7 linked regions of the Xenopus tropicalis genome follow. The protein of the gene in region 1 purifies or fractionates together with the protein of each later gene. This does not show direct contact. Links are inferred from orthologs where the notes say so. Each region holds a gene or a part of one and is shown in the gene's direction. Other genes may lie near its edges. The genes, in order: sf3b6, prpf8, phf5a, snrpb2, ccdc97, sf3b5 and sf3b2.

What was found.
Region 2: the proteins of sf3b6 (region 1) and prpf8 fractionate together in Homo sapiens (co-fractionation; 3 studies listed by BioGRID, with this or other methods). This does not show direct contact. The link is inferred for Xenopus tropicalis from reciprocal best matches to the Homo sapiens genes SF3B6 and PRPF8.
Region 3: the proteins of sf3b6 (region 1) and phf5a purify together in Homo sapiens (affinity purification with mass spectrometry; 4 studies listed by BioGRID and IntAct, with this or other methods). This does not show direct contact. The link is inferred for Xenopus tropicalis from reciprocal best matches to the Homo sapiens genes SF3B6 and PHF5A.
Region 4: the proteins of sf3b6 (region 1) and snrpb2 purify together in Homo sapiens (affinity purification with mass spectrometry; 4 studies listed by BioGRID and IntAct, with this or other methods). This does not show direct contact. The link is inferred for Xenopus tropicalis from reciprocal best matches to the Homo sapiens genes SF3B6 and SNRPB2.
Region 5: the proteins of sf3b6 (region 1) and ccdc97 purify together in Homo sapiens (affinity purification with mass spectrometry; 3 studies listed by BioGRID and IntAct, counting the BioPlex papers as one, with this or other methods). This does not show direct contact. The link is inferred for Xenopus tropicalis from reciprocal best matches to the Homo sapiens genes SF3B6 and CCDC97.
Region 6: the proteins of sf3b6 (region 1) and sf3b5 fractionate together in Homo sapiens (co-fractionation; 5 studies listed by BioGRID and IntAct, with this or other methods). This does not show direct contact. The link is inferred for Xenopus tropicalis from reciprocal best matches to the Homo sapiens genes SF3B6 and SF3B5.
Region 7: the proteins of sf3b6 (region 1) and sf3b2 fractionate together in Homo sapiens (co-fractionation; 5 studies listed by BioGRID and IntAct, with this or other methods). This does not show direct contact. The link is inferred for Xenopus tropicalis from reciprocal best matches to the Homo sapiens genes SF3B6 and SF3B2.

The regions. Positions count from the first base shown.
Region 1 is NC_030681.2:145,721,591-145,726,228, reverse strand, and holds the start of sf3b6 (splicing factor 3B subunit 6), read left to right. Parts: upstream 1-1,483; 5' UTR 1,484-1,500; coding exon 1,501-1,530; intron 1,531-3,245; coding exon 3,246-3,364; intron 3,365-4,063; coding exon 4,064-4,202; intron 4,203-4,638.
Region 2 is NC_030678.2:45,537,560-45,541,870, forward strand, and holds the end of prpf8 (pre-mRNA-processing-splicing factor 8), read left to right. Parts: coding exon 1-1; intron 2-365; coding exon 366-605; intron 606-764; coding exon 765-906; intron 907-1,027; coding exon 1,028-1,168; intron 1,169-1,258; coding exon 1,259-1,398; intron 1,399-1,837; coding exon 1,838-2,040; intron 2,041-2,902; coding exon 2,903-3,057; 3' UTR 3,058-3,333; downstream 3,334-4,311. UniProt on the Homo sapiens protein: Plays a role in pre-mRNA splicing as core component of precatalytic, catalytic and postcatalytic spliceosomal complexes, both of the predominant U2-type spliceosome and the minor U12-type spliceosome.
Region 3 is NC_030680.2:120,350,872-120,355,759, forward strand, and holds the start of phf5a (PHD finger-like domain-containing protein 5A), read left to right. Parts: upstream 1-1,758; 5' UTR 1,759-1,892; coding exon 1,893-1,944; intron 1,945-3,937; coding exon 3,938-3,961; intron 3,962-4,888.
Region 4 is NC_030681.2:29,851,719-29,856,659, forward strand, and holds the start of snrpb2 (U2 small nuclear ribonucleoprotein B''), read left to right. Parts: upstream 1-1,893; 5' UTR 1,894-1,932; intron 1,933-1,934; exon of another isoform or gene 1,935-2,184; intron 2,185-3,813; 5' UTR 3,814-3,832; coding exon 3,833-3,896; intron 3,897-4,649; coding exon 4,650-4,822; intron 4,823-4,941. UniProt on the Homo sapiens protein: Involved in pre-mRNA splicing as component of the spliceosome. Associated with sn-RNP U2, where it contributes to the binding of stem loop IV of U2 snRNA.
Region 5 is NC_030684.2:79,244,113-79,248,771, forward strand, and holds the start of ccdc97 (coiled-coil domain-containing protein 97), read left to right. Parts: upstream 1-1,357; 5' UTR 1,358-1,565; coding exon 1,566-1,584; exon of another isoform or gene 1,585-1,645; intron 1,646-2,011; coding exon 2,012-2,521; intron 2,522-3,017; coding exon 3,018-3,263; intron 3,264-4,227; coding exon 4,228-4,354; intron 4,355-4,659. UniProt on the Homo sapiens protein: May play a role pre-mRNA splicing through the association with the splicing factor SF3B complex which is involved in branch-site recognition.
Region 6 is NC_030681.2:58,017,037-58,020,274, forward strand, and holds sf3b5 (splicing factor 3B subunit 5), read left to right. Parts: upstream 1-1,681; 5' UTR 1,682-1,683; coding exon 1,684-1,944; 3' UTR 1,945-2,259; downstream 2,260-3,238. UniProt on the Homo sapiens protein: Component of the 17S U2 SnRNP complex of the spliceosome, a large ribonucleoprotein complex that removes introns from transcribed pre-mRNAs.
Region 7 is NC_030680.2:40,085,010-40,089,197, reverse strand, and holds part of sf3b2 (splicing factor 3B subunit 2), read left to right. Parts: intron 1-238; coding exon 239-324; intron 325-688; coding exon 689-892; intron 893-1,214; coding exon 1,215-1,340; intron 1,341-1,650; coding exon 1,651-1,731; intron 1,732-2,197; coding exon 2,198-2,425; intron 2,426-2,698; coding exon 2,699-2,848; intron 2,849-3,112; coding exon 3,113-3,202; intron 3,203-3,564; coding exon 3,565-3,672; intron 3,673-3,795; coding exon 3,796-3,903; intron 3,904-4,188. UniProt on the Homo sapiens protein: Component of the 17S U2 SnRNP complex of the spliceosome, a large ribonucleoprotein complex that removes introns from transcribed pre-mRNAs.

The DNA.
Region 1 (4,638 bases):
GCTTGAGAGGCGCCTCTTGCTGTATGTTCATTTGCTTATTGGGTAGAATAAAGTAGGTAAAGAGGGTCACACATATCATGAATTAAAAAGACATTATCATCAGAATAAATAGTCCCTAAAAAAATATCTTTTACCTGCTGTAATTTTTGTGCATTTTTGTGTGTGTGTGAAAAACATATTTCTTGGAACTCATGTGGCCACATATTTTCCTTTTCGCCAGTCCTTCTTTGGTTTATGGCAGAAATGTTATATTCAGCAAGAAAGGGAATTATCTGGGGGTTCATTCCATAGGTCTTTTAGCATTCAAAATAGATGTCTCTGTGATTAGAACACAACAACATACTCAAACTTACCTTGCTGGATTCAAGATTCAGTGTTGTGGAGACAACGGCGCCACCTTATGGACTTCACAAGGCTGCATTACAGCTTTGCCATAAGTAAAGTATTGCACATACTTTATACAGCAGGTTATAGCAGAAAAAGTGCACCAAGCAGGCAGATTGTAAGGCTTATTTAATAACATCAGTGCAGTTGCCCATAATCAGGAATTAGTTAATTCTGTCTACTACCAGTTATAAAATGAAAACAAAGATTGGGTGAGCCTGGTTTAGGCTACTACTTGCTTAGGCATTTAGTAAGAGCATACACATTGGAAACAAGGAACAGACTGGCTTCTAAAGTGCAAGCTCCTGCCCAGCAATCACTGCCAGGGAAGTGAAGGAGCCAAAAATGGTGTCCCTTGGCCCTGCTGTGCAGATTTGCATTTGGATACCAGGTATGGAGAAAAAGGGTCATTTCCAAAAGTTCTGGGTTATTGAGGATCCCTGAACTACAGGGAGTGTTGGGGAGAAAGAAGGGCACTACACACATTATTAAAGTAACATAGTGACACATCTGTGGGTTCAGGCAAATGCCAGAGGGGCTGCTATAAGATGCCATAGTCACTATTTATTGGGCTGGGGGGGCTGTTTGGGCCTCTGTGGACTTTAAATTCCAGACCTATTTGAATCCCAGTCTGGGCATGGAGACAAGTTTCTGCTAAATGAGAGAGGTGTTCCTCTGCCTCAAAGAGAAACCCCATCATTTATGCCAGACTATAAGGGCCCACATGGGCAGATACTGGCCGGTTACTTGGCCACTTATGATCAGGTCTCCAGCTTAATAGAATATCCCCTGCTCCAATCATTATCTGATCAAGCCTCGTTTATATATCAATCGGGATTGGGTGATGTCAGGGGTGTAAATTGGAAGCTGAAACTGTGCATGGGGAGCTGTGTGTGCGTCCACTTGCTGCCCCCAGAGGGCGCTCTACAGTGCTACAGTGCGCCAGCGCTGTAACTACCAAAGGACACGTGACTTCAGGAGGACGAATCAGCCTATCTCAGTAAGAGAAGTTGCCATTACGTCACACTCAGACTTCCTGTTCCGGTTTGTGCGTGTGGTGTTGGAAAGCGGATTGTTTTTATCGCGTCTGGGAAAGGTTTCTTATTCAGCGGCACCATGGCTATGCAAGCGGCCAAACGCGCCAATGTGAGTGTCAGGCTTTGGGGGTTTGTGGGGCGCCCCGATACGGCTATCATGCTCTGCTCATAAGGGCTATGGGGTACTGCTGCTTCTACCCCGGATACCGCAGCGCTTGTTCTGTGTACTGCGGGCTGTGCTGCGATTGGCTCTGTGGGGTTAGTTCTACCGCAGCTTTCCCTTCAGCCGTGACTTTACTATGTGTGTTACCCCAATGTTTCTATATATCTGTAACCTTGTTATGGGCTAAGGGGGCCCAGCCTGAAGGCCAGTTAGGGGGAGATTTGGGGTGAGTGCTTATTTGTGCCCTGGGTACCCCTGGAACTATAGCGGGGTGACTGTTACCCCAATGTTTCTATATATCTGTAACCTTGTTATGGGCTAAGGGGGCCCAGCCTGAAGGCCAGTTAGGGGGGGATTTGGGGTGAGTGCTTATTTGTGCCCTGGGTACCCCTGGAACTATAGCAGGGTGACTATTACCCCAATGTTTCTATATATCTGTAACCTTGTTATGGGCTAAGGGGGCCCAGCCTGAAGGCCAGTTAGGGGGGGATTTGGGGTGAGTGCTTATTTGTGCCCTGGGTACCCCTGGAACTATAGCAGGGTGACTGTTACCCCAATGTTTCTATATATCTGTAACCTTGTTATGGGCTAAGGGGGCCCAGCCTGAAGGCCAGTTAGGGGGGGATTTGGGGTGAGTGCTTATTTGTGCCCTGGGTACCCCTGGAACTATAGCAGGGTGACTGTTACCCCAATGTTTCTATATATCTGTAACCTTGTTATGGGCTAAGGGGGCCCAGCCTGAAGGCCAGTTAGGGGGGGATTTGGGGTGAGTGCTTATTTGTGCCCTGGGTACCCCTGGAACTATAGCAGGGTGACTATTACCCCAATGTTTCTATATATCTGTAACCTTGTTATGGGCTAAGGGGGCCCAGCCTGAAGGCCAGTTAGGGGGGGATTTGGGGTGAGTGCTTATTTGTGCCCTGGGTACCCCTGGAACTATAGCAGGGTGACTATTACCCCAATGTTTCTATATATCTGTAACCTTGTTATGGGCTAAGGGGGCCCAGCCTGAAGGCCAGTTAGGGGGGGATTTGGGGTGAGTGCTTATTTGTGCCCTGGGTACCCCTGGAACTATAGCAGGGTGACTGTTACCCCAATGTTTCTATATATCTGTAACCTTGTTATGGGCTAAGGGGGCCCAGCCTGAAGGCCAGTTAGGGGGGGATTTGGGGTGAGTGCTTATTTGTGCCCTGGGTACCCCTGGAACTATAGCAGGGTGACTGTTACCCCAATGTTTCTATATATCTGTAACCTTGTTATGGGCTAAGGGGGCCCAGCCTGAAGGCCAGTTAGGGGGGGATTTGGGGTGAGTGCTTATTTGTGCCCTGGGTACCCCTGGAACTATAGCGGGGTGACTGTTACCCCAATGTTTCTATATATCTGTAACCTTGTTATGGGCTAAGGGGGCCCAGCCTGAGGGCCACTGTCTCGTTGCCTGTGTGCACCCACTGAGAACTGTATTGTCTTAGTGATAGTTTCTGATTTATGCTGTTTGTGGGCAATAACTTCTTAAGAGATACTTTTTTATTCCGTGACTTGTCTGATGCTGCTTTGCTCTGTGATTTATTTGTGCATGTTTTTATATCATTAGTGCTTTATCCTGTGTGTGTAAATGTCACACTAACTGATATTAATACAACTCCTTCCCTTCTGTTTTACAGATACGCTTACCACCAGAAGTAAACAGAATTTTATACATTCGAAACTTGCCCTATAAAATTACTGGGGAGGAAATGTACGATATATTTGGCAAATATGGACCCATTCGACAGATCAGGGTGTAAGTAATCCTTTTTCTGCGAATATTACAGTGACAAACATAACCGGATGGAAAAGGTTTGTTTTTCAACTGAACAGTTGTTTAGCATTGTAGACTCATTCTTAAAGAAGACATATTGGATAGATGAAAAAAACTCTAATCTTGGGGGCAATTATGAATAATATCTGGTGCTGGTTTCACTTTGTTAAAAAATAATCCTATCTGTAAAAATTGGCACCTTTATTGGAGCTCCCTATAGATCCTCTCAGGTCCCTGTCTGTGTTTCAAATGAGGGGTGGGCATGTCCTAAAGGTCCCTGCCAGAAGCACAGTAAATGGGGGATAGCCAATCACAGCCTTGCAGTCACACAAGCAAAGACAGGCTTCAATTCCCTGTCGGGTCAGCCTAGCTGCTGATTGGTTCCTATCCTACAGTGCTGAGTGTCCAATGCAAATATGGCTTCCTATATATGTTATTACGTATATAGTGATTGCTTGTTCCCTGGACCATGGTTTTCTGCCGAATAATATAATGATGTAATGTTTTCCAAAGCCTATAATTGTCATTTTGCCCTATAAAAGGAAATCTAATTCTAAGGAAGTTTCCAAAAATGCAGTGTCTGCTCCGTGTGTTGCTCTGGTGTTTCTGAACTGTTCCAGAAGTTGTCTGTCTTGTGAATTTTGTTGTTAGCGTGAAGTCTTACAGCTCCTCTCTTTGCAGTGGGAACACGCCAGAAACCAGGGGCACGGCGTATGTGGTCTACGAAGACATATTTGATGCCAAGAACGCCTGTGATCATCTCTCCGGTTTCAACGTCTGTAACAGATACCTGGTTGTGTTGTATTACAACGCCAACAGGGTAAGCATTTGCATTCGTCTGGGGGTTGTGGGAGTGGGTGGTTTCTTTTGAGTTCCCTGTATTCACGCCCTCCTTTTATTGGGGCAAATAAGGATAAGTGCAAACTAGAGGAATAAATAACCACTTAAGGTCCCCATACACTTTAAGATCCGCTCGCTTGGCGATGTCGCCAACCGAGCGGATCTTCACCCGATATCCCACCTACGGGTGGGCGATATCGGGTAGCAAACGATCGAATTACATTTGCGGCCATGGGGCAGTCGGTTCAAGGACCGCATCAACGAGCCGATGCGGTCCCCGATCCGACCGGATTTTCTAACCTGCCCGATCGAGATCTGGCCAATTTCAGGCCAGATATCGGTCGGCCAGGCTGCTCGGTTCTGCCCATAAACGGGCCCATTAGCTGCCGAATCGGTCCAAGGGACCCATATCGGCA
Region 2 (4,311 bases), on another chromosome or scaffold:
AGTAAGACCTATATTTCATATCAAGCTGAAGTTCAAGGACTCTTTTTGTGTAGCTCCAGATGAAAGTAGCGCTATCCCACCCTGTGGGGCATAAGCAGTTTAGGCACATAATTTCCTTGGCCAATAACCCAGAGCACCATAAGAGGTTAATGGCCCCTCTAAGGGTCTTGAAGTGTATTCTGTAAATTAGCCATACTTCATCTTATTGGAAACAGATACCCTTGTTTTTATGTATATATGTGTGTAATAGTTAAACTTTTTACAGCAAACATGTTACACGACACATGTCCTTAGCACCCACACACTATGGTTGGTGTCATCTTATTACCTCCTTTTTTCTGATCCATTTTCATTTTAAATTATAGCGTAAATGTGGCCTCACTGACACAGTCTGAAATCAGAGACATCATTCTGGGTATGGAAATTTCTGCTCCATCCCAGCAAAGGCAGCAGATTGCAGAAATTGAAAAGCAAACAAAAGAACAGTCTCAGCTCACTGCTACTCAGACGCGCACTGTCAACAAACACGGAGATGAGATTATCACATCTACCACCAGCAACTACGAAACACAGACGTTCTCTTCAAAGACTGAGTGGCGAGTCAGGTATGTTAGCAAGGGTTGGGTTCCATTTATAATGCAACTGGAGGGCACAGGAACCTATACGGAGAAAGCTGCTCTCTTTAGCAAACTTCCTCTTCCATAGATCACTAGTGAAGTTTCTAGTTCTTAAGACAAATACAGTAAGATCTTTGTTATTTACAGAGCAATATCTGCTGCCAACCTTCACCTCCGAACCAATCACATCTATGTATCGTCTGATGACATTAAGGAAACTGGATACACCTACATATTGCCCAAAAATGTGCTTAAGAAATTCATTTGCATCTCTGATCTTAGAGCACAGGTTAGTAAACCTCATGGTGTCTTGCTATTAAACTGCTTCAGTGGAGATTTCAAGCAAAAGAAATTCAGTCTGGGCTTATCGATATTTATCTGAACGTTCTCTTCCGTGATTCCTATTCTAGATTGCTGGTTACCTGTATGGTGTGAGCCCCCCAGATAATCCCCAAGTGAAGGAAATCCGTTGCATTGTTATGGTGCCCCAGTGGGGAACTCATCAAACTGTCCACCTGCCAAGCCAGCTGCCCCAACATGAATACCTTAAGGTAGCACTGTAACCTTTTGTTTGTTTGTTTGTTTGTTTGTTTTGCTTTCTTGCCGCAGCCATATTTAAATCGCTTTCTTTCACTCTCTAGGAAATGGAGCCATTAGGATGGGTTCACACTCAGCCAAATGAGTCCCCACAGTTGTCACCTCAAGATGTCACCACCCATGCCAAAGTAATGGCTGACAATCCTGCCTGGGATGGAGAGAAAACCATAATCATTACTTGCAGGTAAGTACATATGCTAAATGCAGTGCCATATCCTTTGTTTTTTTCATTTGAAATTATTAGTTTTTTAGAAAGAAATAAAGCAATCAACAAATTTGTTGTGTACTTCTTGTGTACATTGTAAGCTTTTAAGTATGGTAACATATTGGTTTTGTACATTTTCCTTTTGTCATGGTTAAAACACATTTCTAACTGGCTGTAGTTAATTGGGTAGTGAAAGTTAGTAGGTTAAGTGGGGAAGAGATAGAAAAGTAAGTCTTTTTAAAATCTGGCAGCTGCATCTAGTGCTCAGTCTATTCCGTTACTGCACCATATGCACAGGCAGCATGCTGATGTTTCCTGTAATCTTACTAGTGCTAAATAGAAAGCTAAAGGACAAATACTGCTGGAAATGAATGTGTTTGGTAATAAGCTTGAAATGTAATGCTGTCTGTGTTCTCAGCTTTACTCCAGGTTCATGCACGTTAACCGCTTATAAACTGACTCCCAGTGGTTATGAATGGGGACGGCAAAACACAGATAAAGGAAACAATCCCAAGGGCTACTTGCCATCGCATTATGAGAGGGTCCAGATGCTGCTGTCTGATCGCTTCCTTGGGTTCTTCATGGTGCCAGCACAAGCGTCCTGGAACTACAACTTCATGGGTATGAATTCTATCATATATTCAACACTGCTATTCTTACTTCTGTCTCTGATATTTTATTATAAGCAAAGTCGATCAACTGGTTTGGGCTCTTATGTTTATTAGATGGTGTAGGTGCCATCATTTGGTCAGAGTACTGTTTATTGAACTTTTCTTGCAAATCCTTTTTGTTTTGTTTTTTCCCCATTCGGGCCCCCTTGTTTTAGTAAACATATCAAATATAAGTGAAAACTGTCTATCATGTGCATAGTCCTTTGCTATAGGCCTAAACATAACTTATTTACATTATATAGCAGTTTCATTAATTAAAAAAATTTAGAGCATTTAAACAAGTAATTATAATTTAACAGCAAAGGTCCCTCAGTCCTTTATGGCCCATTATTTACTCTCTGCTAATGTGTTTTGTGCTTTGGGTTCTATAGCTTGTGCTTTTTGCGATTATACAAAATTTTTCAAAAAAATCAGGAGGAGATATACCCATGTGCTGGCTTTCCTATTCTGGGGGAATCTGCTGTCCGTTTTTGTAGAACATTCTGTGAAGTTAAATATTCTAGTTTTCATTGTTTGCCGAAGCTTAGAAGTGCAAAGTTGTCACAGTAACCAATCAGCAGGTTGCTTGTGAAAGGTGTTGAAACAAGAAGTTGTATGTGAATAGGGAAGCCATTAGAAACCCACTGTACACTTTTGTGTCCTGTACACTATTTGGGATAATCTTGGCTAACTAAGTATTGCTTTGTAAGTTCATAGGAATGCCAGGAACCCCCATTTATCTTGCTAATAACTGCCTTTGTATAGGGAGTGCACAGCAATGGTTTAGGACTTTTTAACTTTGTTTCTTAAGTTTGTGTTACATTTTCTTTTAGGTGTGAGACATGACCCAAACATGAAATATGAGTTACAGCTGGCCAACCCGAAGGAGTTTTACCATGAAGTACACCGGCCATCGCATTTCCTAAACTTTGCTCTGCTGCAGGAGGGTGAGGTGTATTCGGCTGACCGGGAAGATCTGTATGCATAAATCTTCTATAAGAATATTCCCAAGGGCTTGGGTCACGGTTGATATTCAACATTAAGTGATTGAGCCCCTATTGACAGCAGACACCTCTTAGTCGTTCCTCGTGAGGCTATTAGTGCTTTGCTTCACTTCATATTTTGTCCAGTTTTTTCCTGCTGCATCTGTGTAGCAATTGTTTGAACAACTTCATTGTTAATATCTGTGGAAGCCTTTAGGCTCTGTATTTACCGATATTGATTTCTTTTTTTTTTTTTTTAATAAATATTTGTTCACACAGTGGCATTTGTTTTCCATTTAATACCTAGTTCTCCCATTTTGATCTTCCGGTTAGTTATTCACACCCCACCAGCAAGTCTTTACATGGCTGTTGTCAATGTGTGGAGTAAATGGGTTTCCCACAGTTAATTACACTTACAATGTTATGGTCCCTTACTGATTCCATTCTTCAGCTCTCTCGCCTACTACAGCTCATGGGCAACAGTGGTCCAGCATGTAGCTTTGGTTAAGATAATATGGAATACTGGACATTCATCATGTGATGCCTCAAGAAAGATGCTCCGCAAACCCAACTGGAGGGGCCTAGACAACAGCTTTTATAGGCCTATGAATAGCCACTTCTATTCTCTCTGAAGCTCAGGAAAGTTGCACCCTTACTGAGTCATGCTGTGCAGACAAGCAGCGAAATATTCAAGATGTCAACAATGAGACAGGCTCCATTTCCAGGCCACATACACTGGACCAGAATCCAGACTCTCCCTTGCACCTAACTAATGATCCAGCACTCTCACAACCGGTAACTGCAAGCATTCTTGCTGAACAATTCTCAGCATAACTCCCTCTCCTTGGCCATAGCAGAAGCTGTTAAAGGGGCAGTGCTTAAAACTAACTCAACTCTGTCCCGTAGAGTGTAAGTCTGAGTCTAGATCCGATAAGATTATCTAAATTCAATTTGATTTTTTCCTGTAGACTTTATAGGGGACAAACACATATATTTAAGTCTATTCTTGAGCTTTTTAAGTCCTTTTTTAAATTAAACATGAAACCAAACTCCTCTTATACTCTTTTATTGATAAAGCCTTACCCAGTTAAAAAAATATGTAAAAATTCCAGCTGTCAATCATTTATTTTCACTTTCCATTCCGCACTCACTTTTCCCACCCTCATGGGCATGTGCATCAGGTCCATTATTGTGGCGCATACACAAGATTTTGGGGTGATACAAAACTTGCCTTAGTAACTGTGCCCACAATATGGTCT
Region 3 (4,888 bases), on another chromosome or scaffold:
GCAGAGTGCCATTGAGCCCTATGGAAGACTTTCCTTGGGCCAGGTTGGAGCTGCAGAGTGCCATTGAGCCCTATGGGAGACTTTCCTTGGGCCAGATTGGAGCTGCAGAGTGCCATTGAGCCCTATGGGAGACTTTCCTTGGGCCAGGTTGGAGCTGCAGAGTGCCATTGAGCCCTATGGGAGACTTTCCTTGGGCCGGGTTGGAGCTGCAGAGTGCCATTGAGCCCTATGGGAGACTTTCCTTGGGCCGGGTTGGAGCTGCAGAGTGCCATTGAGCCCTATGGGAGACTTTCCTTGGGCCAGGTTGGAGCTGCAGAGTGCCATTGAGCCCTATGGGAGACTTTCCTTGGCCGGGTTGGAGCTGCAGAGTGCCATTGAGCCCTATGGGAGACTTTCCTTGGGCCAGGTTGGAGCTGCAGAGTGCCATTGAGCCCTATGGGAGACTTTCCTTGGGCCAGGTTGGAGCTGCAGAGTGCCATTGAGCCCTATGGGAGACTTGCCTTGGGCCAGGTTGGAGCTGCAGAGTGCCATTGAGCCCTATGGGAGACTTTCCTTGGGCCAGGTTGGAGCTGCAGAGTGCCATTGAGCCCTATGGGAGACTTGCCTTGGGCCAGGTTGGAGCTGCAGAGTGCCATTGAGCCCTATGGGAGACTTTCCTTGGGCCAGGTTGGAGCTGCAGAGTGCCATTGAGCCCTATGGGAGACTTTCCTTGGGCCAGGTTGGAGCTGCAGAGTGCCATTGAGCCCTATGGGAGACTTTCCTTGGGCCAGGTTGGAGCTGCAGAGTGCCATTGAGCCCTATGGGAGACTTTCCTTGGGCCAGGTTGGAGCTGCAGAGTGCCATTGAGCCCTATGGGAGACTTTCCTTGGGCCAGGTTGGAGCTGCAGAGTGCTATTGAGCCCTATGGGAGACTTTCCTTGGGCTGGGTTGGAGCTGCAGAGTGCCATTGAGCCCTATGGGAGACTTTCCTTGGGCCGGGTTGGAGCTGCAGAGTGCCATTGAGTCCTATGGGAGACTTTCCTTGGGCCGGGTTGGAGCTGCAGAGTGCCATTGAGCCCTATGGGAGACTTTCCTTGGGCCAGGTTGGAGCTGCAGAGTGCCATTGAGCCCTATGGGAGACTTTCCTTGGGCCGGGTTGGAGCTGCAGAGTGCCATTGAGCCCTATGGGAGACTTTCCTTGGGCCAGGTTGGAGCTGCAGAGTGCCATTGAGCCCTATGGGAGACTTTCCTTGGGCCGGGTTGGAGCTGCAGAGTGCCATTGAGCCCTATGGGAGACTTTCCTTGGGCCAGGTTGGAGCTGCAGAGTGCCATTGAGTCCTATGGGAGGCTTCCAAAATCATGCACAGAAGGATCAAAGTCAGAAAGATTTTCCCACATTTTACGACTGTTCAAATATAAATATATATATCGTAAAGATCCGATTTTATTATATTCTTAAATACAAATTTTTCGTACTTCAAAAAGCATGATACAAAAAAACGTATTTGATACGATTTTTTTTGTATCATGCTTTTTAAACGTATGAACATCGTACTTCGATAAATCTGCCCCATAGAATATATTTTAATTGCATTTTCTTTATTGTACTTTATTTTTGGCAAAGTATGTTTAGCTGTAGACTGCCCCTTTAAAGGAAACAGTACTATGGGGCCGAAAAAACGCAAATCTTTTATAAAGCGAAACGCCTATTAACAGGATATCCGGTGTAAAAGTTCATCGCACAAGAAGGAAGAGAAGCGTCTAAGCGATTCTTTAACCAATTGGAACCCACAAGCTAAGTTTCCTAGGCGTAACAGCAAGGAAATGACGTAAAGTCCATGGGCGAGAAAGAGGCTTGGAACACAGAACTGGAGTGAACGCGCGGCCGGCGAAGGAAAGGAATTTAAACAGACATGGCGAAGCATCATCCAGATTTGATTTTTTGCAGAAAACAGGCGGGCGTGGGTGAGTTGCGCTGGGTAATGTGTTCGGTGTAACGGTGTAAAACTGAGGACAGAAAACTCTCCTCTCGTAGGCATTATAGATTGGCCGTTTCTATTGATTGCCTTTCTAAATCATTCGGATAGCACGTTCGGTACTTGTGTATACTCTCCTTGTATGCGTATGTAACAGGTATATGTGTTCCCTCACAGGGCTTCATTAACCCTCTTTTATTTGTTATCCACAATACTTCAGTTTTATAATTGTTATGTATATTTATGTTTCAGATTGTAGTTTGAGAGGTGGAGCTTGAACCTGATCTAGTTATACGCTGAATGCTAACTCCTTGATTATTGCAATTCTACTAAAGCACAATCTGACTTTCCTATTTAAACTCATGCAACAGAACTTGTCCTATATTTGCAGAAATCTGCAGAGAAACCTAACTTCTTATTTAAGGGAAATGTTGATTATTATAATTACAGAGGTGATCTGCACAGTAATGTTACTATTGAAGTGCTTTCCAACATGAATTTCTTATGTTATGAATGTGAGGGAAAATGACAAAACACAATGTTTAGGTGCATCGAATGGGTGAGATTACTCTGTGACCTGTGTAATGGCAAAAAAACAGCGTGCTATAGAAACACAGATTTGTATTTTTTATTTTTTTTTAATGTTTTCCTTTTTCTAAAGCTACATTGTATTTAACATAACAGATAATGAATTCTAAAGCTTAGGGCTTTCATTGTTGTGGACCTCCTGGTAATCTGATACTATACATGCAATGATACGTCGGTACATACAATACTGAAACAGTTCCAGCCAATACCATTTGAGGTTAATTAATGCCTTACTGAATTTATAAATTAATTTCATGTTTGTACTGGCAAGTTGTTGGAGCTAGTAAAGCTAGTCTTTACTACAGCTTTCAAAGGACATGTAAACCATTTATCTTCCTACCACGTATATAAGTTGGCACATACCCCCCCCCCCAACCAAACTTTACCATTTGTACTGCATATAACCCCTCTGTTTGCCAAAACCATCACATTTTCCTAAAGCAAATAGCAGCTTTACCCGGTGGCCATATTCTCTCTCGCACATCTTTAGTGACATTAAAGGAGAAAAAAATGTTAGGCAGCCCCACGTGGCTTTAATCGCTTACTTTTTACCCTGTGTGGTGCCCCTGTTAGGAGAAAACCGCACCAGCACTGGGTAGCTGTGAGCAAGTGTCTCCTCTTCCTTCTCATCAAAATCCCTGGGCCGGTGCATGTGCAGTAGAGTGAAAAGCCGACTTTTTTGTTAAAGTTTGGCTTTTCACTCTACTGCGCAAGTGCGCAAAGAAAGAAGAGGAGACCACACTCGCAGCTACCCCAGGCTGGTGCGTTTTTCTCCTAACAGGGGCACCAGCCCGGGGTAAAAGGAAAGCAATTAAAGTCACTTGGGGGTGCCTAACGTTTTGACACCCCCAAGTGACTTAGCCTTTCCTTTTCCTTTAACATCTGTAAATTGCACATATTAAAGTTACTTTAACAAGAAGTCCTGCTTGGATTGTGCCCTGTAACCGTAAACTGAGCTCCAGCAGATTACACAGCGAGAGCAGCGTTTCTAGGGAAACCAGCAGTGATCTCTTCATTGGCTGCTAGACTGGAGGCTGTGTTTGGTAACCTGAGTTAAGAAGAACTGAGCATGCTCGTTAGCCACCAGCCGAAGTCAATTCATAAGGGATGGGGCAGAGCGGGTTAGAGGAGGAAAAGAAATCCTAAGTGATTAAGGGGATACTGCAGCCTTTCTATTAACCGTTTGAACAACAGGAGTGGCAGGTATTTAAAGATTTCAATGAGGCTGTTCACTGATTACATTTTTGTTTGTTTTACATGTCCTTTAAAGCATTTTAGATATTTAAGATATGTGTACAACATGATGACCACTGTTTAATATATATATATATATATATATATATATATATATATATATATATATAAACACTTACATTTATAATTTTCTATTGCAGCTATTGGAAGACTCTGTGAAAAATGTGAGTATATATAATTCTTAAACTTTTAAAATATAAATTGCATTTGTTCATATGCAAAAAATGTTTCACCTTTGTCTTCTTTGTGCAACTGATTATTTCTCAACAAGCAATGGTTTTTAAGTGTTGCTGCCAGTCCTATATCTGATATCTCTGATATATCTGATTATATATTCTATATTCAGCAGTTGTATTACATTAGACATTATTAAAAAAATGACATTGCTTAACATCTGCTGAGTGGGGAAAATCAAGAATTTACAGTCTGTTTAAAAGTGTGTGTAGTTGTGGGGTGCATGTAAGGTTAGACTTAAGGTCCTCATACACCATAAGATCCGCTCGCTTGGCGATGTCGCCAAGCGAGCGGATCTTCTCCCGATATCCCCCACCTATGGGTGGGCGATATCGGGAGAATCCAGGGTAATTCGATCCCTGGGGCCAAATGATCGAATTATAACAGCAGGTATAGGAAAAGTCGGTCCGGGGACTGCATCAATGAGCCGATGCGGTCCACGATCCAACTAGATTTTCTAACCTGCCCCATCGAGATCTGGCCAATTTGAGGCCAGATATCGGTCGGGCAGGCCTGTTGGGAGTGCGCTTACACGGGCCAATTAGCTGCTGAATCGGCCCAAGGGACTGATATCGGCAGCTACTATCGGCCCGTGTATGGGGACCTTTAGTCTTTCATTACCTATATATCACAGCATGGTATGGGGTGCAAATCATTGCCTTTTTAAATTATCAAACAGGATGGCTGCAAATCAAGAGTGCAACAGTTCTGGACTAAAAGTCCATTGAGTTGGAGCTGAATAGCCTTGTCTTTTTGAGTTTAATTGATTTGTAACATTTTTCAGTCTTACCATGTATAGTTATAGTATTACAAGTCTTAAAGGGTAAGGAATTAATTAGGGAGTCCCTAAGGAATAT
Region 4 (4,941 bases), about 120 Mb from region 1:
CAATAAACATAGTAATATGCTGCTGAGATGTATAATACAACATTATTGTACCAAGTTCAGGTGGTGCATGGTATTTTCCCCTTCTCAATAACCTGAGTAAGGGAAGGGGGGGGAAGGACACAACAAAATGTTGGGCTTCACCAAGTGTGTGCAAAAACGGTTGTATTAGAGATCTCAGCAGCATGTGGTCTTCTTTATATCATTTATCAGGCAGAAAACCTGCTGTGAGGACCCTGAATCTAGATGACCGCTGTGGGAGATACAAACACATACTGGAGATTGCAGAACTACAAAATGCAATGGGTGTTAAAGTGAAAACTGATTGGGTGTAGTTAAAAAGCGCAAAGGAATTTTAATGTGCAACATTTGTTATCTCTCTATAGGTCAGGCCCTCCAGCCTTTTTTAAATTGCAAAATCTATACTGGCACCCCCAGTGGTGTAAATATATAGGAAGCAGACCCCACAGTTGCAGGGGTGGGTCCAGGAGACAAGGGCCCCAGACCACATGGTCTACTTTCTCTTTAGGTGTAAGGAGATCCCCACTCACTGGCTGCTCTCCTACGTGAGAGTGAGTGGTGGAGAGTGGGGGATGTATGCAGGTGAGTGGGGGATCAGTATGGGGTTAAAGTGTGGACTAGGCCCCTCCAAAGTGCTGTGTAGTTACACTGTATATATTTTTAGAGCTAGAGTAGACTCTAAAATACAGTAGATATTGGTAAAAGAATTGTCACTTGTATTGGGGTCAAAAAAGAACTAAAGCTTAACAAAGATGTGGGGTGCAAATGCTGATAAAAGCCATAATACAATGCTGATAAGTTGTTAAACCAGATTTTTATTACATGAAAGGAATACAGTTTGCTCCAGAATTTAATAATAAACCCTGTAGCATCAGCTTCAATAACAGGAGAACCTTATTTTCTGCTTTCTGATTTCTGACAACCCCTAAGCTTTGCTTCTCAACAGCTGCCCAGAGCCCACTGAGTATGTGCAATGTCACTGACACATCTAACAAAATATTGTGGTTGCATTACGAAAGTCACAAAATTTTCGGATCCGAACGTTCATAAATGGCGTGAAAACCTTTCTGGCTTTGTAACCTTCAATGCATGATTTTGGGAAGCCTTCCATAAGACTCAATGGCACTCTGCAGCTCCAACCTGGCCAAAAGATAGTCACGATACCAAAGGTTGAATGAATCCCGAAATGGTTGTAGTCTTTGCGAAAAATACGAAGTTAGTGCAAATCACAAAAAAGTCGTGGAATGTGAGCGAAATTATTGTGGACATTCCGAAATGTTCTATAGAAAAATGCTATTTTTTTTTCTAAAAAAATGAATGGGCCCCTATATGATAACATGAAATAAGGACTCAAAAAGGCATGGAGTGGATCATTATCATGGGGTTGGTTAACAGCTCTGGTGTGCTTGTTTTGTGCACCTCTTCTCAAGATGTAATATAAAGGACATTTACCCAGCTGCAGTAACCTAGAGAGCAAGCAATACATGTTTGATTTTATACAGGTGAAATGGTGCCATAAGTTACTATAGATGAGGTAAAATTTGTACTATTGTTGCTTCCCAAATGAATTTAAAACAGCCCTGACCCCCACGTATTGCCCTAACGTTCCCTGCCATAATTTAATAATGAATACCGCCGTTCCACTGTATTACACAGGTGCTTAAAATTTTGGCGGAAAGACAAAAACAGTTGTTTATTATATGACACTCTAGTCGCAACCTGGGAATGTACAAAACGTCAAAGAAAATAACTTTATGATCAATTATGCGAAGGCGGTTTTGCCCTTACGAAAGATGGCCGAAGTGACCTCGGAGCCGTGACGTACGTCTCTTTCCTGTTCTAATGCGCGTTTGCTGGAAATCAACGTGCGACGCCAGCTTGGAGCCGTAAGGCGCACGGAAGCGTGTGTGAGCGGTAAGGAAGGAGCTTGTATGGGTGATTGCCGGGCTTGTTTGTCATTGTACGAGGGTTTCTTTTGGTAATAGTTCTATACGTTCCGCTCCTTCGCTTGGTGAGAAGCTGGCAGCGGGTAATGAGCAACAACTTCCCCAGCAGCCACGTCCAACTCCTGCCCGTTCTGTTGCTATTGGAATAAAACGCGCCTGTAGTGCGGGTTTATATGTAGCTGTAACTCGGTTAAGGGGCAACTTCGTGTGGTAATTAATGGTATTGATTGATTTGTAACTGCAATCAGTTTCCATACATTGCAACCAATCAATAGAGCTGTCCCTGATCTGTGTGCGACTGGGGGTCGCCAGTGTATGGCTGGGAAAGAGCTGCACTAAAGCTTATAATTGTGTATTATACACACACTAATATACACAGGGGCAGGCTAGTTTGCCTGTATATTGTTGGGTATGGGAGAAAAGTGCAGTGACTAAATCATAATACTACAGGTATGGGATCCATTATCCAGAAAGTTCTGAATTACGGAAAGGCCATCTCACTTAGACCCCATTATAAGCAAATCATTTTAATTTTATAAAATGATTTCCTTTTTCTCTGTAATAATAAAACAGTACCTTGTACTTGATCCCAACTAAGATATAATTACCCCTTATTGGGGCAGAACAGCCCTATTGGGTTTATTTAATGGTTAAATGATTCCCTTTTCTCTGTAATAATAAAACAGTACCTGTACTTGATCCCAACTAAGATATAATTAATCCTTATTGGAGGCAAAAAATCTTATTGGGTTTATTCAATATTAAAATGACTTTTAACAGAGTTAAGTGATGGAGATCCAAATTACGGAAATATCCCTTATCCAGAAAACCCCAGGTCCCGAGCATTCTGGATAACAGGTCCCATACCTGTACTACTAAATCCAGCAGTTACATGTTTTTAATAATGGGATGTTATTTTGTAGTAGTCTGTATATTTCATATTTATTGAAAAATATGCCGGGCTATGCCTTATAGTCTTATCTGTGTTGCTGAAATTGTAGGCTATAAAAAGAAATTCAATTTAAAAGCATGCATTATACTATTACAGGCATGGGACCCCTGGGCTTTTCCAGATAAGGGGTCTTTATATAATTTGGATCTCCATGCCTTAAGTCTACTAAAAAAATAATTTAGTTGGGAACAAGTACAAGGTACTGTTTTATTACAACAGAGAACAATTTAGTATATTTTCAAATAGTGAATTATTTTAATAAACTGGATAATGGGTTTCCAGATAACAGATCTCATACCTGTACAAGCATGTATTTGGTTTTATGTATAGATTTATGTAGGTTGAATTCAGTTGGAATTTCATGGCACATGTTATATACAATAATAATATTCTGATCTGAAAGTGGGTCTGACAGATGTGGTTCGCAGGCTTGTCTAATGTGCAATATCATGGCGGGTTAGTTTTGGTAATATTACAGTGTGCCTGGCTTTTGAAAATTATTGCTTTACTCTAGGGAAGTGATTCCCAATGAGTGGCTCATAAGCAACATGTTGCTCCCAATGGCCCCAAAGCAGGTGCTTATTTTTGAATTCCTGGCTTGGAGTTTTGGTTGCATAAAAACCAGATGTACTGCCCAACAGAGTCCCTTTAGGCTGCCAGTCCACGTAAGGAATACCAAAGAGGTAATAACAGCCTTTTTTTGGCACCAGAAGGAATTTTTTTTTTTTTTTCATGCTTGTGTTGTTCCCCAGCTCTTTTTACATTTGGATGTGGCTCACTGGTAAAAATGTGTGTGTGGCACAGTAGTCCATCTCCAAGGAGAAAAGAACCTTGAGTAATACTGTACTTTTTTTCTATATCTAAGGTCCTTTTTTTTTTTTTTAACATCTCTTTCAGTATTTAGAATATACAAGCCATGGATATTCGGCCAAATCACACTGTCTACATCAACAACCTCTGTGATAAAGTAAAAAAACCGGGTAAGTGTGAGGAGCGTTTAAATGTTGAATATTATACACTCTCAGTCTACACTCTATACAGTCTTTCCTGGCAGAGTACACTTTACATCTAGACAGCAGCATTGGTATTGCAACTCCTTATGCTGTTATCTGTGAAGGCATTTTTTACTCTCCTATATCCTTTGTATTCCCCTAAATAGTAAAAACTGCAGAGAAATGAAGAAAAACAAACAAACTTAAATATCCTTCAAGCTTTAAAAGTGTAAAACTAACTTAAAAAAAAATCTGCTCAGAAGTCTACTTTTTCCATTTCATATACTACTATTCTTCTGCTATTTATTATGCTTCTTGCCCTAGATATTATTGCTGTTTATTGATCTAGTGCTCACCAGTGCTTAGCATTTGATGGCAGCAAGTAGGTAAAAAGGCCATCAGTAACGATTTCTTATCATTTTAGATGTTTTTTTTTTATTGAGGATGGTGCCTGCCTAGGTGCTTCAGTTAAAATGTGCACCACTGCAATCAGCAAGCAATACGAAAGGAGAGAGTGTCGGCAACATGTGCAATCACGGCCGCACCCAGTCATTTGTATAATCACTAATATGCACAGAAAAGCTTCTTGTGCAGAATATCCCATGGCACTGGTTTTAGTAATAAATGTAATAACTAATACTGATATTCTATTTTCACCTTATCAAAATCCGTGCAAGAGATTTAACCATACATGTTTTTATACTTATACTGTGAAGTTTTTTTTTTTTTTTTTCTTTTCAGAACTAAAGCGATCATTGTATGCGCTATTCTCCCAGTTTGGCCATGTTGTAGACATTGTGGCATTAAAGACCATGAAAATGAGAGGACAAGCGTTTGTAATCTTCAAAGAGCTGAGTTCTGCTACAAATGCTCTGCGGCAGTTGCAGGGTTTCCCTTTTTATAATAAACCAATGGTAAGTTATTCCTCATCCAGGAATTTTTATGATTTACCTCACTCTGTATAGAAAACTTTATATAACTGTTCTAAACTTACTGAAAGATGTATATATATTTTTTTTTATAATTAAGCATA
Region 5 (4,659 bases), on another chromosome or scaffold:
CAAATCAAATGGTAGTTGTTTGTACAAAAAACATACAGTATTGATGGCACTCTAAACAAAGCCTAAACAGTCAAGAATACCATTGGGCAAAGATACCCATTGCCTTTTGTTTGCAAAAAGTCACTCAGATACAAGAAACCTAAAGTTTTATTAATCTCACTTATCTTTAGTTTGCATAAAACTTTTTCCTTTTTGGTCAGCAGGAGAGTAGGATGTGATAGCTTCCTGCAGGTATCATTGGCAACCTAGGGGTGGACGATATCGTGTGCATTTAGGCTAAATCGGTCGTTTGGCCCTGGGGCCAAACAATCGAATTAGAATGCTGGTAATAGGCACAGTCAGTTCGGGGACCGCATTGAGTTAGTTGATCAATTTGTTTTGAACAAATATTGGGAGCTGAGGCTTTGGTGGCAGCTGGCATGGCTGGCAACAATCACAAACAAAAGTCTTTCTTTTCACTGAAGTTGAAAAAAAAAGTTTGAGCAGATGCCCAAAACCTGCCAAGCTCAGAGTAATGCTAGCATCTTATACATAAACTTTTGTGATGCTGACACATCCTATCCTTGCTCTTTACTTCCGCAAAGCGGCTATGTAATGTCACAGTCTTGCAAATTAATAGTTGTGACTTCTGAAAAGAGCTAAGAAGCTGGATGTTGCAGCAGTGTTGCAGGACATTTAAACAGCGATCCAGGACTGCGGAGTTGTGTAAAGAAAAGTAGCACTGTTGGGAGGTATTTGTATTTACTGCTGCTGTGTAACACAATCTACCCATGTGTGTTTGAATAAAAAAATAAAATTGCTTCTGGGACATTTGGAAAATTGTAAGCTCAGAAAGCAATAGTGTTATGGCTACAAATGTCAGTGACTAAAGAGGAAGGCAAATCATTAAAAAACTATAACACATAAATAATGAAGACCAATTGCTACATTGCTGGAAATAAGACATTTTGGTTAAATTGTTGAGTAAAGCCTCTAACTTCAGCAGGGTACTCTGAGCAACCAGGAAAAATATATTGTAACTACAAGCAGAAAATATAAAAGACAAGACAATTGGGAACTTAAATGGCAAGGGGCATGGCAAAAAACACTCTTTTTTATATTACAGTTCCCTTAAAGAATTAGGAGGTACATGCAGAGAATAACTAGACAGCTACCACAATATAACTGCAGCTTCTGTCACTGTAACACTGAGTTACGCGGCCCCGCCTCTCCCACAAGGCGTAAGGGGTAAGGTTACGTCATTACGCTTTCGCGTAGTCGCAGCGCCAGTCTCGCGTGATGAGATGTGTGACTTCGGGATTTTCTGTGAAACAGGAGAGTGGAAGGCTGCAGTTAATCATTTTGAGGGAGCTGTGGGTTACGTTCCTGGACTGTGGCCGTGTTAGGAAAAGTGGGACTATTGGGCGGCATAGAAGCTGTACAGGGGAAAAAACATGCAGGCGTTCTAGCAACTTCCCCCTTCCTAAAGTTTGCAGATCAGTGACAACAGGGGGCCCGTAAATGTAGCATAGCCGGCACCCCATAACACCCAAAGCACGGGACGACTGGCCCTCCTGTCCTTCCCAATGGCGGCCCTTCCCGATGGTATAATACATTTTCCATAAGACTTTCTGAATTGCTTATCTCCAAAGCTTCTACAATAAAGGTTTATACGTCATTTATTTTGTGTGAATAAATAAGCAGCCACTGTACTGCCAGGTTTGGTTGTCTTGCACAAGGTGTCAATAGTTTGAATTATGATAACATGATGCATCTTGAAATCTCTTCTTTTATGTTTATAAACTCAGTTCCATCAGCTGGATTTGCAGCTGGGATTTCTACTTGCTTTTATTGCTCAAAAACTTACCAGAGGAATGTGAAGGAGGGAGCTTGCTAAAGTTTTGTTTCAATGCAAGTGCCCTTCCTCCTGCAATGGATTATGAGCAGAAAATAAACTGGTACAAAATCCCTTGTTTGAACTTAAGTATGTAATTGCTGCCCCGTATCTAAATATTGTCATTTTCATCAATAGATATCACAGAGCATAATATGAATGTGTTGGAGGAAGATAAAGCCATAGTGGGGGACCTCGGAGTTCATGAAAGTGAGTATTTGTCCAAGAACAAGCAGAGTGAGGATAGTGAAGTTTTGGAAAAAGCACTGAAGGAAGCCAAACGATTGGGTTGTCGTGAAGGTCCTGTTCAACAAGATCCAACACAGCTTGAAGGAATTCTTTTGGATATGTTTATGGCTATCAGCAACAGTAATGTGCAGATCAGAAGCCAGCAGAAGGGGGAGCCAGAATTTAGCCAAGAGCAAAAGTTGACGATGCTTCTTGAACTTTATGAATCCAAACCTCTAATCTTCCTGGAGCGTTTTCGTAAGGTCCTTAAAGAGGAACACCTAGAGTGCTTCAACCACCTTTCTGGGGATTACACAGCAGATTACTATTGCAAAGAGATTTGCAAAGCATCCCTCAAAAGGGTTGATCACACTCGGGTCCGAAACAAGAGGTATGCAGCACTCCAGAAGCTAATCACGGGTAAGATAATGTAAATTTTTATAATGGTAATAGGGACATCAAGCTCCCTGTAACTGGCAAAACGCCCCCAAATACTTTTAAATTAAAAGGGTTTTTAAAATTGCCTGTGCTGAGCTGGTTGAGTCACACAACAATGTGTGTGACATTTAACTGGCTCAGAGCAGGAGATTTCAAGACTTTGTAATTTAAGTATTTTTGCCCATACTGTAACGTGCAGTTTTCAGAAAGGTGCAGTGGGGGGCAGAATTGCCCTTGTGGGTGGGTAATCCCAAAATTGTTGTTTTTACTTTTCTTGGGGACCACTTACTATTCTATTTAGCCTTGTATGATGACTTACCAGTATAGTTTTTTAGTTGTATAGGATAATTACTTAGTGTAGTATTTGATTTTGGAAGGTAGGCTTCATATATAGTGATGTGAATATAATGAAATGAAAATGTTTATTAGCATAAAAATGCTTTTTAATTTCACTTGTTTTTGTGCATTTTTTATTCAGCGGGTGAATATTTCAGTGATGAGCAGATGCGGGAACGGGACCCTCTTATGTATGAGCATTATGTGGGGCAATACCAGAGTGAGGAGGAGATAATGTCCCAGAACAGCAAGGACATGTCTGAAGCCACCAGCCTCTCCACTGTTCTTCTTAATTCATGCCAGGAACAGGCCCTTCAGTGTAGGCTGAAGGCTCAGAGAGAGCTGGAAGAGAGCTGCATGGAGGAAGAAGAGGATGAAGATGAGGAAGGTCAGTGTTCTGACTACTAAAACACACCCTAGCCTAAACAAGTTTGTATGTATTTTTGTGTATTAAAGAACAGTGCCTGTCTGAGTAAACTCATTTTATAAATTTTATTATTTACTTGACCACAAGGATGAATTTGTGGTTGTGTTAATTTTTTTTCTGGTATATTCAATGTGTGGGTGAGTACATAGAGCTGTACTTTATTAATAATAATAATAATGTCCATTTTCAGTTTCTTTTTGTACCATTAGAACATTATTTGCCTTTAATTGGGGAGATTGCCTTCAGATAAGGGTGAATAAATAAGGATTTTGCAAAAGAAATACTTTTCTAAACATATTTATTTGGCAGAAAGTTTCATATTATATGAAAGAGTAAAGATTGCACTTACCAAACCTCTGGGTTAAGCTCTCTTGCAGAGATCAACAGTAAAGGGAAAACAGACAAATAACTTTAGCTATGACAGCTGTAGCTCTAAGCACTACAGCTACTTTGGTAGGACTTTGCAAAAGGTGAACAACCTTTTATAAGACATTTTACAGATTCATTCAAAAAACTTCATTGACTACACCATTTTAAAAGTTAACTTTAAGGTGAACTACCCAGTAGGATGTGCTTAGATAAGGAATACACTGTTCTCAAGTCAGAGCTGGCTTTAACTCAGATGCCACTTCCAAAAAATGGGAATTAATCTATGACTATCTTAGTCTATAAAAAGGTATATGTAATCTTTTTGCACAGTGCTGTATAGCACTGTCTAAAAATATTCATAGTCAGACACAGTGTCACATCTCTGTAGATTTCTAGCCAAAAGTTAGTGCCCAAGTTAACCACAAGTCCATGAGGATTGCGTTAAAATGTTTTCTCATACATTGTAAAATGAAACCATTAAAAAATAAAATAGAGATATATATATATATATATAAATCCTTTACTTCCTAATACTGATCCCTCACTTGTCTGTTAGAGAGTGAAATAGAGTCTGATGAAGAGTGCTCAGTGAACAGTGAAGAAAGAGCACTGATGAGGGAAGAATTCATCAGTCGCATGCACCAGAGATTTCTAGATGGAAAGGATCGAGATTTTGACTACAGGTATGGATTGAGCAACACACATCATCTTTCGCTCTCTGTCAAGTGCCTTCCTGTTTCTGTGCTATATTCCAAGATTTCCTTTTGTCTCCACGTGCACCAGTAGCCTAATCAATTTCACATTGTGTTTAAAGGAATATGTTTTTATGGGGATGTTACCGCTACTAGAATCCAAATTACGTACTATTATGCTTTGTGTTTGAGGTTTAGATTATCTTTGCTCCCTGCAAGTAGACACCTTGCATCTATTGATATGGTGTGATGGGGGTGGTCTGGTCAGTATATATCTCTAGCCTTAAAAATGTGTA
Region 6 (3,238 bases), about 88 Mb from region 1:
ACTAGAAAAACTCCTAACTGAAAACTTCAACTGGCAAGTCCCCAGTCACCGGTTTCTTTTCTTGAGTTCCTCTTATTGGCCTCCATTGGCTGTTGGAATTCACAGACCCCTTCGCTCTGAGGATAGCCATCATGACACAATGCTGGATCTATTTATAAATACCTTGTACTGACTGCAACTGAAGTAAAACTATATACATAAACAGTCAGTCCCCGCTACTGGCATGGGGCACCTGTCTCAACGGACATCTGCCATTGACTTCTACATGATCTTGGCAAGTTTAACTGGAAATTCTTAGATTTGTATTTTTAGTCATTTTGAAACAGTAAATCTCAGAAAAGGCGCAACTTTAATTTCTGCAAATTTTAGCAGAACTCTTTACTGTTGAGCTATTTTCCTCAGATTTTAAGGTAATTTTTTTTCTCCTTTTCCTTTCCTTTTTCTTTTTTTTATTTTATTACTTTATTTAGTTTGTTAACAATATTGCTTGCCTACTTTCCACTTGTGCAATTTAAAGGACATGTAAACCATACATTTTCCTACCATATATATATAAGTTGGGCACCCAAACAACTCCATTTGTACTGCATATATCCCCTGTGTTTGTCAGCACCATTACATATCCCTAAAGCAAATAGTGTCTTTTACCTGGCAGCCATTTTCCTTCTGACATCATCAGTGACATTTACATCTGCAAACAGCTCATGTGCACTACAAAGTTCATGCAATGAAGAATGCTGCCTTACGCAGGCACAACTTACTTTGATCAAACGCACAAATTTCCCCCATGTGTAACAGACCTAAAATGATTCAACAAGCTTGAATTACTTTAAAGCACATTTATTACCTACTTCAGTTCTAACTTTTTCTTTCAAGCAAAAATAATTTTTCTTTAATAGATCTTTGCTTGTTACAAGAGGAATATACTGATAGGTCAATTTAACCCTTCGGTGTTTAACCCTGTGAAAAGCCTCTCCAAGTTATTATGTGCCAGAAATGCCCTTATACTGCCAAAGTTTACATGTCTAAAATGGGTAGTGTCTTAGTTGCTCCCTTAGGGCTCTAACATCACTTTAATGTATGCATTTACAAACACATGCTGAATGCAAAAAATTAAAAACTGTGCGCACAAAATATTTTTTGTGTACATAACTGAGAAGAAATTAGAGGGGACATTGAACCCTTGCCTTTATATAACTTTAATAAATCGCAAGACTGTGTGCTAAAATCACGGATATTATCACTTTAAAGGTAAAGGTTGGAAGGCGAGTAATCTATATGCCGCTGGGTATTGTTTCATGTGTTAACATGTTGCGGAGGTTACTATTCAAAAAATGGTTTATTCCTATAGAATTGACCCAACTGCAACCACTTTATATTTTTCCATACAGCTTTCCGCCTGTTCTCTCCCTGTGTCCCACAACTGAGCATGCAGGGAGTTTCGATTTCGCTTGAAATAGGCGGGCCAATCGCTGAAGCGAAAATGAGCAAAACACTACAAAATTACGAAACTTTATTTATTTTAGTCGGCGTCGATATATTGGTCACTCCCGGAAGCAACGTAACTTCCGGCTGCTGTAACACGCTGACTTCTTTTGTCCTCCGGAAGCCAAAGGCGCTACCGCTGCATATCATAACACCAAGTCGTGTACAGTGAGCTTGCTGTTAGCGCTTGCCATCGCCATGACAGACCGATATACTATTCACAGCCAACTGGAGCATCTGCAGTCCAAGTATATCGGCACGGGCCATGCGGATACTACTAAGTGGGAGTGGCTGGTGAACCAGCACAGAGACTCTTACTGCTCCTACATGGGCCACTTTGATCTGCTCAATTACTTTGCCGTGGCTGAGAACGAAAGTAAAGCACGGGTACGTTTTAACCTGATGGAGAAGATGCTGCAGCCGTGTGGGCCCCCAGCTGATAAGCCCGACGACTCTTAAGCGTGGCGATGGTTTCTTCTCTGAGGCTGCCTGTTATGGAGTTCTTGGAGTCGATCAAACTTATCGCCGTTCGTCTTAAAGTTTCCGGGACTTAAGCAAGAGATTCCCGCCTAATCAACAGGCGTGTATCATAAAGCAGGACTGTGCTAATTCTAAATGGAGTTTCTGAATTCCAGGAGTCCGTGATAAAGTACTTTGAGGACGTTTGTGCATTTGCCTGAAGTCTCTTCGAAATCCTTGTACGACTAATCTAGGCTTTTCTTTCAACTGCTTATCACTTGTAATAAAACAATCAACTCTTGTTGAATCCTTGTACAACATACCCTTGTTAGTTTTTTAATTGTTCACTGTGGTTCACTTATTAGATTAATAAGTATGTAAAATGTTATTGTCAGGGTGCTATGTTTGGTGTTCTTGAAGAGAATCTAGCTGCCCATCCCCCCCCCCACCCAAAAAAAAAAAAAAAACTGGAAAAGGTAAACGTAGTCAGGGTGCTTTTAGTAGCCAGCAACCCTAGGGTCAGTTGCAATTAGGCTTCATAATTGTTTTTTTTTATATAGCTTTTTGTTGAGTTGCTTTCAGTTTTCATATTCTTACATCTATCTGGTTGCTATTATTTACCCTAGGCAGTGGTTTGAACTGGAATATGAATAGGAGAAAGCCTGCATAGACAGGGGAAAAAAAACCAACCATTGCCACACAGATCAATGGTTTTTGTCTGGCAGTGTTAGTGACCCCATTTTAAAGACGGAAAGAGGCAGAAGAGAAAAGCATGTAATTTAAAAAAAAAAAAAATATGAAAATCAATTGCAAAGTTGCTGGGAATAGGGCATTTAATACCATACTAAAAGTTAATTTAATGGTAAACCACCACTTAAATACCCTACATTTAAAACTGTGACTGGAAGACACTGCATTTGGGGATTAATATCAATATCTCTGGAACTATAGCAGAAGTAAGTATAACAATGTTTTAATATAAACAGGGTTACTAAATGTTTACGTCACCAATGATCAGATGTTATTGAACTGTAACTGTTCATCATAATGACAACTTTGCTGTCCTCGGTCAGACTGCGCGTATGCCGTTGTTATAATTCGATCACAGCGTGTATGGCCACCTATATACTTGTGCACCAGATCTAACTCTACTGTGCATGCTCAAACGTTGGGATGCCTGGTAATATAAATTATTGACTTAGTAATAGGGGTTTTGTTGTTTACCAGAAGCTTCAGTTGAGGGGTTTGCTCAGCCCTGTGTCCATGGCATCCCACTATGTCTTTTGCCCCTATC
Region 7 (4,188 bases), on another chromosome or scaffold:
ATAGAAGAAGGCATGAATAGAAAGACAAGTAATTAAAAGTAACTACAATAAAACTTTAGCCTTACAAATCAATAGCTTTTAGGCTGCTGAGGTCAGTGAACCCCATCCAAAAGCCAGAGAGAGGCAGAAAAAGAAGACAAGCAATTCTCAACTATAAAAAATATATAATTTCCCTTTATATATTCACATGCATGTAGTTTCGGTATTGCTTTTCAACCACTTGGTTTCTTTTTTTCAGAGGAGGAAGACATTGATGCAGACTCCCGTTACGTTAATACAGCTTCAGAGGCAGAAGAGGATAATAATGTCCTAAGTAAAAAAGAGGTCAGACATTATTCTGAAATCAAACATGTCTTTGTATATTGTATAATTTATATTGTTTTGTTAACATTATAAATAATTTTTATTTGTTTTGGTAAGAATTTACCATAAAGCCTCTGAGGGCATGATTCACACACAGGCAATAGTAGTAGCCTGAACTTCCTATATGTTATTATTGTGTATTCATAATACTGTTCACTCTTGTAGTTTTTTTAAGACTGATATGCAAAAGAGTGACCTGTAAGGTTTTTGTTTACAGAAAGGCAGAATTTGCTGCTGCAGTGTCTGTTTCCATGTTTGTGTTTTTCAAATTAATTATGTTTGCAGAAGGTTTTATATATATATATTTGTTGATTTGTGTCTAAAGAAAAAAAATCGAAGAAGGAGAAACCGAAAGAAGCGAACACGTAAGAGAATGGTTGGCTCAGAATCTGCAGTAGTTGATGAGCTTAATGAAGCTGCCGAACCTGATCTTGCAGGTGGAAAACTGGAGATAGAATATGTGACAGAAGAACCTGATATCTATGATCCCAACTTTATCTTCTTCAAGAGAATATTCCAGGCCTTTAAGGTAAATGCAAGGTGTTTGTGGCCAGACATCTTTCAGGCACATTCTAACCTTATGGCTGATGGTTTGAATGTAAGAATATGTCTTTACAGGTCATATTCCATAATTTCAGGGAGTTTATTAACTGAATTAATGAAAGGGTAATTATTTCACTTATAGGTCTTGCAAAGCTTCTACCATGGTGTGCTTGTTCATGTAGGACCCACTTTGGTGGGTTCCTTTTTATGTTACCTATGACTATCTAGCTTATTTGAGCCACTATATAAAAGCCCTGAAGGCTTGGGGCACGCAGTCCTCCAGTTACTAACATTTTTAAATTATACAGCTGACAGATGATGTGAAACGGGAGAAAGAGAAGGAGCCTGAAAAGGTGGAGAAAATTGAACCAGCAGCTCCGAGAAAACGATTTGAGGAGGAACAGATGGACAATGACAGCGACAGTGATGAAGAGGTGAAAATTGCACTCTTTATGTTAATATGTGTACAGTTCTTAGCAAGTGCTTATACTAATCCTGTTTTTTAGCTATAATTGATATAAATGGGTATAGCTAACATAACAGATTACAGATTAGAAAACTGTTTATACAGTTTTGCAAACATGAAGAACTGTTATTATTCTCACATACAGAATAGCCTTGCTCTATCTTAGAAACACCTGTATTTGCTTAACTGCTTCCTGTTCAGATTGTGCTTAAATCTTGTGTTGCTCATATTATGGTTTCCTATGATGTGTAACACACTTTTTCTAATTGTATTACTAGGATAAAAAGCAAGATGCTCCCAAATTGTCTAAAAAAAAATTGAGAAGAATGAACAGATTTACAGTAGCCGAACTAAAACAGGTAAGGGCTGATGGGTGTAAGGAGGGATAATGAATGCATGGAATTTCAAAACAAACTGTTATTTCAATTTAGTGCTTTTAATTAGTTAGTTTCTGCATTACTGAAGAAAAGTTCACTCAGTTCTGTAATTGTGGTATAAGACAATTGATAGCAGCTCCACCCTTATTAAATCTGCTCTGTTAAATTCAAAAACCAAGAAAAGTAGCTGTGGGGAAGAGCAAACACCAGATCCTGGCACAATAACGTCTATATAATGTATTATGCATTAATGAACCACTATGTTTATCATACAACATGATACCTTGTCTTGATAGATTTGGTATATTTGCTGTTTTGTATGAAACATTTGTAAAAAGGGAAAATTAGTTTATCCCAGGAACATTTTTTCAACATTAAAATTGTTGCCTGTGTGAATTTCTTAGTGCCCTCTGGTATCTTCCTCACTAATCCATCTTTCTCATATCAGTTGGTATCACGACCAGATGTGGTAGAAATGCACGATGTCACTGCTCCAGATCCCAAACTACTAGTTCATCTAAAAGGAACTCGAAATTCGGTCCCTGTTCCACGTCACTGGTGTTTCAAACGAAAATATCTTCAAGGAAAAAGGGGTATTGAAAAACCTCCTTTCCAACTCCCTGATTTCATCAAGAGAACAGGCATACAGGAGATGAGGGAAGCACTACAGGAAAAGGTAGGAAATGGTAAAAAAAAAAAAAAAAACAGCAAATTAGGTAACTTTTTGGTGGTGTTTATGGTAAAGGTAGTTAAGTGAACAGACCACTCTACTTAATAAAATTGTTTGTATTTTGACATTTAAAAATCATTTAGCAATGGTATTACTAAATAATAAGTGGGTAGCAGTTACAGTAAGATAGCTAGGTCACCTTCAGCAAAGCAGCACATTTAGAACTGCATCCTATTACGTATTTATGTATTACATTGTTTTATATTTTTTTCGCCCTAGGAAGAGCAAAAAACCATGAAATCTAAAATGAGGGAGAAGGTGAGGCCGAAGATGGGAAAAATTGACATTGACTATCAAAAGTTGCATGATGCGTTTTTCAAATGGCAGAGCAAACCCAAGCTTACTATTCATGGAGATTTATATTATGAGGTAAGTTGTGTGTGTTTGTGGGGGGGGGGGGACTGATACCCACTGATACCCACTGATACTCACTGATACTCGTTAAACTAGCTGGTAAGATATTGGGTGTAAATGGTGTGCTAATTTTTTTCATAGGAAATACCATAAATGTGTGTAAAATTCTATCATACAAAATTTTATTATGCTGTGTATACAGCGAGCAGTCTTAATCAACATTCCACGTGTTTTTGTTTCTTTTTTTTTTTTTTTTTTTTTTTTTTTACTAACTCACAGGGGAAGGAGTTTGAGACCCGCCTGAAGGAGAAAAAACCAGGTGATCTCTCTGATGAGCTAAGGATTACGCTAGGAATGCCTGTGGGTCCAGTGAGTTCAATTTATCCCTGACATTTTTTTTGTGCCATAATGAGAAATGCCAAGGTTTAGTAATATAGACAATAAAGTAGCTTTAATTTGAAAAAACATATTCTCATACTCATTGCCATAGTGCTCTCATGCTACATGTTTCATTTCACCATGCATTCATTTAGGGCTGTTTGAGTGGCTGGTATGTATATATAGTGTCCATGCTGATAACATCCTTGTTCATTTTATGTGCCATTTACAATATAGATAAGATAGTTAAGTATACTTATATTTCAAAACATTCTTGTCCATGGGGTTAATATTTATTGTATGGGATAGTAATATGCATAAAACAGTACTCAGTTTTCTTTTTTGTTCCTCAGAATGCCCATAAAGTGCCCCCTCCCTGGCTTATTGCAATGCAAAGATATGGACCACCCCCCTCTTACCCCAACCTTAAAATACCAGGGCTTAACTCCCCCATACCAGAGGTAAGTCATTTCTTTTCTCACTCAGCTGTATGCGTCTTTTTCCTTTTCTACTGTTTTTGTTGTTTCTACCTTTTTTCCACATCCTTTCTCACTATTCACTTTTTTTTTAATTCATTCCCACAGGGCTGTTCCTTTGGATATCATGCTGGAGGTTGGGGAAAACCCCCTGTGGATGAAATGGGAAAACCTCTTTATGGTGATGTGTTTGGGACCAATGCCTCAGATTTCCAGGTATGTATTTATCTATTGCCCTTTTATGGCTTCTTCTTCCACAGCTTCCTTTTCCAAACATATTCTCTTATCTGGATTTGCATCATATGGGTCCAATTTTCATGTGGAAATATGCTACTACTTTCATGCAAATCATTTACTTCACAACAAATTTAAATAAATGAAAATGTAAATTTCAGTTTAATGGTCCAGTACACACTCCTGTTTAACAATCAAAATGGATATTGTTTCTGTTGAAGGGAGCATATAAAAAGAAATGTATTCCTGAATGAAATGCTAGGAAAG